Caenorhabditis elegans: one gene and its partner. The protein of the gene in region 2 purifies or fractionates together with the protein of the main gene of each other region. This does not show direct contact. Each region holds a gene or a part of one and is shown on either strand. Other genes may lie near its edges. The genes, in order: hcp-3 and knl-2.

Region 1 (3,511 bases), on a different chromosome or scaffold from region 2:
TTCAGCTGCAGTTTTGGTTTTTTTTTCGATTTTTTTCCTTATGATTTCTGTGCCAATTATGTACACCTAAAAATGTTTCCTTTCACTGAGAACATCTCGACGCGCTCATAAAATTCAATTGTTTAGTGACAGACGTCACGAAAGCATTTTACGCATCATTGTGATAGTATTCTTACACAGTTTGTCACCCCATTCGTCGTCGCGAATATTTCTTCATGTGTTCAATCTTTTTTTGGGCAGAATGTAGAAAAGAGAGAGACAATACTGCAAAAGTGATATTGAAGAGGTTTCCGTGTGTGTGTGTGTGTTGGTGTTTTGAAAATTCTAAAGACACAGAATTGGAAAGGAAAATGAATCAACACGGAACACGTACACTTTTTTTTGGAAACAAGTTTAGTATTAACTTTGCAAAACATGTCATGTCTATCGTTCTATCGGGATAATGGTATTTGAAAAGAAATAAAAAATAAAGAAAGAAACCAATCAGCGTTTCCGGACTCCGCCCTTTTTGTCTGATTGGTGGAAAAGTGTGCGGAGCAATTTGCTAATTGGTATTGCAGTTCTTGTTTTGGAGGGAATTCAAATTCAAACAGAGCGATTAGCCGAATTTTTTGGCATTTTAGACTTTTTTGGTATTTTAAAATTATAAAAGTTGGCTTATATGTTTTCAACAAGCTTCGGAAAGCTCATCGAAATAAAATAGGTTTGCTAGTTACGAGCCTTTCCTGAATCACTTGGTGTCAGGATCAAGTGTTTCATTTTTCGATTTTTCGCTGTTTTGATGGGAAAAAACATGGAAAAAAGCGGTAATTGAGACGTAGTTTCCAACCATTGTCACTCGGTTAGCAGGCACACTTTTCCGGCCGAAAAATTTTTTGAATTTTTTTAATATCATATATAAAAAATCCTATTTAAAACTATAGATCAGTTATGAGACGTCTCATGAGACCACGTGATTCGAATTGAAAACTTGTGCTATGTCATTGCAGTAGACTCGGCTTATCGAACACTGGATTACCAGGTCCAAATATAAATTTATTATAATTTTTTTGCAGCGAAGTTTTAAGCGTTCTTCGATTATAAGAGAATATTAGCTCTAATTATTATTTCTAGACCTGCTTGAATAATCGCCTTCCGCGCAAGCGGAAGTTGCTGGCGCATCTCTCGTGTTACTTGCACATTTTAGTTTTTCAAAGCGCGCGGAAGCGCGAAAATTTGGTTTTTCTTTTCTAGAATTTTCTTTTGTCTGTTGATGGTGACTCTCAGATTATTGTCACCTAAAATTAGGAATTATTTTGATTTTTTTTCTTTTTTTTTCCTTTTTGTATCAGACTATTTTTACATTTTTGTGTGTTAAAGCTCCAGAGTGTCGTGAAAAACACCGAATCATTGTCTTCTCCGGCGAATATTTGTTTTTTCACTGCACTTTCCAAAGTTATCTCGATAAAAAATTATACAGCTAATCTCATATTATATATTATCGCTGTATGCGAGACACAGCCCAAGGCAGTCCAAGTTTCGTGAAGTTTTGATGGAATATTTATGAAGAATCGTTTTTTTTTCGAAAAAAACAACACAATTGTTCAATCAGCTGAACTAAATTTTTATAAGACCCAAATATTGATTAATTAGGCGACCCCCGGGGTTGAGTCCGTCATTTATGTTGTTTTGTGTGCACTTTAGCGTGATGTCGTCTGCGTATTTCCCTGCGTCTCTCGCCGCCAATCGTTACTTATTTAAACTGCGTTCGCATTTATTGCTTCTTTAATTCCTTTTTAACCTTCAAACAAATCGTCTTAATTTAGCTTCAGTTTTCTAAATTTTATATTTTATCAGGATAATCTTCGAACAATGGCCGATGACACCCCAATTATTGAGGAAATCGCCGAGCAAAATGAGAGCGTCACAAGGATCATGCAACGTCTCAAACATGACATGCAAAGGTAAGTGATGATTTTTGTTTTCGTGCTACAAATTAATGTCTGCTGTTTCAGAGTCACTTCAGTGCCGGGATTCAACACAAGCGCCGCAGGTGTCAACGATTTGATCGACATTCTGAACCAGTATAAGAAGGAGCTTGAGGATGATGCAGCCAACGACTACACTGAAGCGCACATCCACAAAATTCGATTGGTCACAGGCAAACGGAATCAATATGTCTTGAAGTTGAAGCAAGCCGAAGACGAATATCACGCGCGAAAAGAGCAAGCTCGGAGAAGAGCTTCGTCTATGGATTTCACGGTTAGTTTCAATTTTGTATGATTTCAAACAACATAAAATTTATTTCAGGTCGGCAGAAATTCCACGAATCTTGTCGATTACTCCCACGGCCGTCATCATATGCCCTCATACCGTCGACACGATAGCTCCGACGAAGAAAACTATTCTATGGATGGAACAAATGGCGATGGAAATAGAGCTGGCCCATCGAACCCCGATCGTGGTAATAGAACTGGCCCATCGAGCTCCGATCGCGTGCGGATGAGAGCCGGAAGGAACAGAGTCACCAAAACGAGACGTTATAGACCGGGCCAGAAGGCATTGGAAGAGATCCGCAAGTACCAAAAAACTGAAGACCTTCTGATTCAAAAGGTATACAATTTTTACTTTATTTAAACTATATTAAAACAATTCCAAATTTCAGGCTCCGTTCGCACGCCTCGTCCGCGAAATTATGCAGACTTCCACTCCATTTGGCGCCGACTGCCGTATTCGTTCTGACGCCATCAGTGCTCTTCAAGAAGCGGCGGAAGCATTTTTGGTCGAAATGTTCGAAGGATCGTCTCTTATATCCACCCATGCGAAACGTGTCACACTCATGACAACGGATATTCAGTTATACAGACGTCTCTGCCTTCGACATCTCTGATAACAATATTTGCAATACTCATTTTTCGATCTTCAAGCCATATTTATCTCATCAATTTTAGCGCTGTTTGATCTTTTGTGTACCGTGAACACGTTTACTATTTGTCAAATAATAAAGATTCATTACTTGTAAATGAGAACATTTTATTTAATCACTTGTTCGAACTAGCTTTTCCGAAAATATGAATAGCTCGAAGCTTCTGATAGACTCCTTCGCAGCATCTTTGTACAATATCCGTGTTCGGATTCTGTTTGGCCCAGTGATAAATTGCTCTGAAATTGACCACGTAAATAAGCCTTTTCTACTTTCAAGAATCCAACCTAACAATATTAACAGCATGCGAGAGATTTCCGAGTTGTGCTTCTGCGAGGGCGGTATACAGGTAGCATCGTGCAAGAATAACTGGATCTCCATATTTTTTCGCTAAGTTGATTTGATGAGCAGTAATTTTTGCAGCGACTTTCGCCTGAAAAGCTAGCGTTAAACTAAAGTGTAAACTGATAACTTACATAATTTGCATCGAAATCTCCCATAGCTGAATAAGCGCCACCTAGAGTAGACAAGTTCCACATGAGCTTTTCGAGATCAAGCATGTATCGGAAATGGTGTTTCAAACGTCTTTCCCAAGCATAATCGAGATTT
Region 2 (5,741 bases):
TTGACAACGTTCGGGTCCACAAGTCGTCAATTCTGGGAGAATATGGAAAAGGTGAAGCTTGTTTTTGAGAAATCAAAAATAACTTTCTAATTATTATAGGATACAAATATGCGATCGAGTGCCTGAATGCTGGACGTATCGGAATCGGAGCACAAATGTTAGGATTGGCTCAAGGCTGTTTCGATCAAACAATTCCATATCTTCAACAAAGAGAACAGTTCGGGCAGAGACTTATAGATTTCCAGGTATTATTTGTCAAAAGACTGAAATTAAAATATTGTAATTATCAAAAATTTTCAGGGAATGCAACACCAAATCGGACAAACACGAATGGAAATTGAAGCTGCTCGTCTTCTGGTCTACAACGCTGCTCGCATGAAGCAGAATGGACTTCCATTCGTTCGTGAAGCAGCCATGGCCAAATTGTTTGCATCACAAGTTGCCACTACAGCCACTTCGAAATGTGTGGAATGGCTTGGAGGAGTTGGATTCACCAAGGAATTCCCAGTTGAAAAATTCTACCGCGACTCAAAAATTGGAACAATTTACGAAGGAACGTCCAACATTCAGCTCAATACCATTGCCAAGCTCGTTGACATCGAATATCAACAAAAGGCTTAATTGATTATAATAATCATCTCCTACGGCGTTTTCAGTAGTGAACAATCGAACGTATTTATTTCTATTCGTTTATATTTTTCAGAATGAACAATTTGCAACTTAGTATCGAGTTAATATTTTACCAAACTAGTATAAAAAGGAAAAATTCATCATTTACAGTTATAAAGAATAAGTGCAGTAGAATAATTCCATGCACAGAGATTAGTAGATGGATGTGTCTTCTTCACGCATATCATCATCGTCATCATTGTCTTCATTTTCGTCGTCTTCGTGTATTGTTGTTCCACGATTAATAATTTTCAACGCCTTCTGAGTTCCCTTTTCTAACGAAATACTTGTATTCTTGTTACCACGATACTGCAAGATATTTAGTTGCTTGCATGAAATTTCCCAATCTTTTTTAAACCTACCGTAGAGTTGTTCATAGATGAGGACTTTTTCAGTCTGGAACTAGGTCTCGCTTGCATCATGGAAAGGTGCTGAACGTATTTGAAGTTCGTTTCAATATCCTTTGCCTTCGTTTGTTCTAGACGCGGTGAATTGAATGTGGAATTGTTTCTGAAAAATTAATGCTTTTTTAAAACTAATTATTTTGTATAAATTTACCCTCTGCTCATTGGAGAGTCTTCAACAGGTTTTGGCATAATTGAAGCTCTTGTTCCTCCTCTCTTCTTTGTAACTATTGGTGTTCTGAGAGCGAGCAATGATTGATCAGCAGCCACATCTTCTGGTTGATAGTCTTCCATTGACTCAACTCCACTTTGCAGATCTTCAGCTCTATGATTTCCACCTTCTCTCAGTTCCTCATGCATCTTTACATTTTCCTTCACTCTGGCCACAGCTCCACGTCTTCTTTTCTGTTCAACTTCTTCGACTTGTTTCAACACTTCTTCATTTTGCTCTGGTTCTACCCATTTGAGTCTTGTGATAGCAATCTGTCTGACTACTTCTGGTTCAACGACACCTTCCTTTGCCAAGAGGCGTAAAACTTCTGTCCAATCTGCATCACTTGCAGAAGGCTTCTTCAACGCAATCACACGTTTCAAACGATCCAGATCTTGTTTTCTCCATGTAATTTTCTTTGCAACTGGAGTTACACAAGAACGACGAGGACGATTACATGCTATACTATCATTGAGATCACGGTTATCTTCCAAAGATGCTCTCTTCTTTTTGCGAGCTTGGGCTGGTGACTTAGTTGAATTAGCCGGTTTTGAGCGCGTGGCCTGCTGAAAGCTATATGATATTTTCTTGCGACGAGGACGTAATACAGGAGGCATCTTGACTAATAGCAAATTAGAAAATGAATATTATTTGTCAGGTTTTTTTCACGGTCGTTTAACCAAATAAATAATTAAAACCACTCACCTTTTTCACAAATTTATCCTTTCTCGCATTGCTTCTCTTTGGTATTCCGTCTCCAAACATCATTGAATTATCCAGAAGCTCTTGGTTTTCTATGTCCCATTCATTTAAAGACTCTTCAGCATCGGACGAATTAGATCTATGACGATATGATGAAGATGACGCCTTTTGTGATTTTTGAAGACGATTCCGTAATTCTTTCTCACGACGTACAATCGCATTCAATTTTTCTTCGTCCTCGCCACTTCTGGAGTTTGCATGATTTCGCCGTCTGCCATAGTCATTGTAATCACGAGGTCCTCTAGGATCTCTGTATTCATCACCATGTCTACGATGTTCTTCTTCGAAACGAACAGACTGAAATTATTGAATGTCCTCAAAACGTCATATATTCTTTTACTTACTCTTCCAGAAGAAGAAGACGCGTCTCTTCCACGGTATCGTTTCGAGTCACCTTGGATATCAGCATCATAATAATCTCTACGCCTCGCACCATCGTCATGACGGCGACTGTACTCGAAATCATCACGCACGATGCTCTGTAATAATTTTAAAACCAATGACAAATTAACTGATTAATACGAACTCTTTTTCTACTCATTCTTGATTCATCTTCGTGTCTGCGATATGTGGCGTTATGTCTGCTCCATCTACTGTTATCATGTTCGTATCTCTGAGAGTATCGAGATTGTTCATAACCGTCTCTAGATGAAGAACGATGGCGTGGTTCTGGTGATGGTGATGATACATTCCGCCTTCCTGGTTTTCGTACCCGTCCTGGGGTGCTTTCAAAATGAAAAGTATCAAGAACAGAGTCAACATCTGCGAATATGTCGACATTCGAAGCTGCTAAGTTACGTACACTCTTGGATGGAGGAGCCTTTGGAACCGCAAACAAGTCTGCATCCGATGCAAACTGAGCATTCCGTGCAGCTGGACGCGGTGGTGGTGGTTGTACCGCTTGAACGCTATCTTGAGATTTTTGTGTTGGTGGAATTTGATTATTGGCCCCGTCAGCCAACCGTTGTTTTTGTTGAGGCGTTGAAGAAGCAATAGGACCTTGTTTTCTCTGAAGATGACAAAATATTGTTTCCAACATAAATTTTTACTTACCACTGGAGTTTGCTCGAAGATGAATACTTTTTTCGCGCCACCATTGTCGTGTCCCCGTGTGAATCTTATCGGAGTGATTGGCTCGCCGTTCTGAGATTTCGGAGCACGAAGGGTGTAATTAGCTTCTTCCAGCTCTTCCTCTTCTTTTCGCCTTCTTTCAGCCTCAGCTTCAGCATCTCGTCGTTGTTTTTCTTCTTCTAATCTTCTCTCACGTTCCTTTGTTTGCTGTTCTTCACGCTCACGTCTGTTCCTTTCTTTCTCGTTTTCGGAATTTTTCTGGCATCCTCCAGTTAGCTCGGTTTCATCTGCCAACGTAACAATTGGTTCTGTTCTAGTTCTAATTGGTTCTTTTGGAGCCTGTTGGATAGGGCGAAGTGCGCTTCTTTGGTTGGCTGACATGCAGGAATAGATAAGGTCGGCCCAATTTTCAGGAATTCCATTTGAAAATTCATCAATAATTCTACTAGGCATTCCCATTTTTTGTTGATATTCCCGATCAATCTGTCCGACCAAGTCGAAGAAACGTCCGGAAACATCGAAAAGCAACGTAGAAGTGAAGCGTCTCTGAATATTTAATGAAAATTGTTGACGAATATGTTTCTCGACTTACACAAATAAATTCGGAACAAACTTTCTGCATCATAGTGCCTTCTTCATTTCTCACAAAACCTTCGAGTTTGAAACTGGTCGCGTTAAACTGTAAAAATATTGAAATCATGAAAACTTAAAAAAACTAGACAGTTACCTTCATGGACCACAAGTTGAGACGAATGATTTCGCTATCAAGTACATTTTGTACTCGAAGAGGAACAATTTCCGTATCACCCATTAGGCATAAAATACCGTTTATTGGAAGAAAAACAGAAATCGGAATGAGATGTCTCTCTGATTTGAATGCAACGCCTTGGCGGCAAGTGCAACGGAGCGTGTTTGCCTGGAGTCGTTGCAAAATAAAAACTGGGGAATACTTTAATTGCTCAAGAATTAGTTAGAAAAAAAATGGTAATAGCTTGAATATTTGGCTTTGAGTAGTATAAACGGTTTATTTATAGTTTTATAAAATAATTGTTCCAAAAAATCTCTAATTACACTGCTTGAGATAATGAGATATCAGTGAATCTGTGTTCCATGATTTTTACATTAATTTTATCCGCAAGGTGTCACCATTGAACATATTTGAAACAATATTCTTCGAAGCCATTCTCAATATTTAATTTGTTTTTAAAGAGCTTTATAATGAAAATAAATGAAAAATATCGACAATTCATGCTTTTATTAATTTTTCCAAGTCTACTCACTTAAATCACATTTTTCTCCATGATCATCGATCGATATGATTGTTTTCTCCGTATTACAATTGTTTGTTCCTACGATTTTGCCCTAGATTCTGCAAAAGCATTAGTCATTCACAATTCTCTATGTCCGCTCACCGCCCGTCCATTCTAAAGTGGGCGATGATGATTTCGCAATACTCTTTCTCTTCCTATGAACAAACATTCTTTCTTCAATATATTCTTACTGCCATTCTTACAATCCTAAGTGTTGATCGGTCGATAGCCATTCCGATTCCTACTCAAGCTAAAGTCAAGTTGTTCTCACAATCATTCAATAATTCTACATATATGTACATAGCTTCGGGAATTATTTATTCCATACTTTTCCAGCTAAATTGAAGGTTAAAAAGTATACCATAAAAACATATCGATTCCAGGATCAAATTATTCCATGCAGCATGGAATGTGAAAAAACTTCAGATGATTCTGAAAAGTCATAATTTTCGATTCGTTAATTAATTTCGTTAATATGAAGTTAATTCTAAATAGGTGGGAAAAAACTATTATTCAAATTTTCATGAACAGATTAGCTTGAAGTTTTGTGAAAAGGTTTTAATATTAATTTTCGCAATAATTTTGTTTTAAACTCAGAATGATTCATGCCGCTTGAACTTTTTCTTTTCATTTTTTGTTGAACCTTCTCCCACCGGAAACATAAAAACACATGATCCAACTACCACCACTAAGCTGTCAACACTTTGCCCTTTGCTTTCGCCAAGCTCTTGTGAAGCAGCTCATGTCTTTTTTCTTTTTCATCCTTCCAACAACGCGCGCTCTCTCTCTCTTTCTCCGTCTCTATTCCTTTTCTCGTTGTCTCGGTTCCATCGATCTCCCATTCAACATACGGCCGAGGCGCCCTCTCTTGTCTGTATCTCTGGTCTCTCTATCATCTAGAGAATGAGTCCTTTTCTTTCTCCACCATCTCATCAAATTAAACGTCTATTTCGGGGGTTTTGTCTATCTAGTAGAGGTCCAACCACACTAGCCTTCAAAAATTTCACCACGCCCAATGCCCTCCACCACTGAGAATTGACCCTTGTCAACAACCTTGTCTTCTGAATTTTTGATGACAGAGGCAACGGCTTCTTTTGATTTTTGAAGTTTTGAGATTGCGACTTCCTTTTCATCATTGACTCATTTTTTTCGATAATCAAAAATTATACACTACGAGGGAGCGATGTTCTCTTTAATTTTTTTTTGCTGTAGCTTCTTTTAATTTTCAAAACAATTTATCAAAACATAGCTTTCTGAAATCACCCTGAAATTTCAGCTGAAACTTATTATTTGAAAAAATATTAGAAATGTATT

What was found.
Region 1: the proteins of knl-2 (region 2) and hcp-3 purify together in Caenorhabditis elegans (affinity purification with western blotting, with the first as the bait; one study listed by BioGRID). This does not show direct contact.

What each region holds. Positions count from the first base shown.
Region 1 is NC_003281.10:9,614,794-9,618,304, reverse strand, and holds hcp-3 (Histone H3-like centromeric protein hcp-3), read left to right. Parts: upstream 1-1,834; 5' UTR 1,835-1,851; coding exon 1,852-1,943; intron 1,944-1,994; coding exon 1,995-2,241; intron 2,242-2,289; coding exon 2,290-2,592; intron 2,593-2,644; coding exon 2,645-2,869; 3' UTR 2,870-2,999; downstream 3,000-3,511. Other genes in the region: F58A4.6 (DUF4807 domain-containing protein), read right to left, coding at 3,021-3,141, 3,190-3,335, 3,379-3,511. UniProt on the Caenorhabditis elegans protein: Histone H3-like variant which exclusively replaces conventional H3 in the nucleosome core of centromeric chromatin at the inner plate of the kinetochore.
Region 2 is NC_003279.8:6,459,178-6,464,918, reverse strand, and holds knl-2 (Kinetochore null protein 2), read right to left. Parts: upstream 4,042-5,741; 5' UTR 3,929-4,041; coding exon 3,845-3,928; intron 3,797-3,844; coding exon 3,710-3,796; intron 3,664-3,709; coding exon 3,100-3,663; intron 3,056-3,099; coding exon 2,573-3,055; intron 2,526-2,572; coding exon 2,391-2,525; intron 2,344-2,390; coding exon 1,990-2,343; intron 1,851-1,989; coding exon 1,228-1,850; intron 1,180-1,227; coding exon 1,032-1,179; intron 979-1,031; coding exon 823-978; 3' UTR 633-822; downstream 1-632. Other genes in the region: acdh-3 (Short/branched chain specific acyl-CoA dehydrogenase, mitochondrial), read left to right, coding at 1-51, 100-245, 301-621. UniProt on the Caenorhabditis elegans protein: Required for the recruitment of hcp-3, hcp-4, knl-1, bub-1 and lin-53 to kinetochores, kinetochore assembly, chromosome condensation and chromosome segregation in meiosis and mitosis.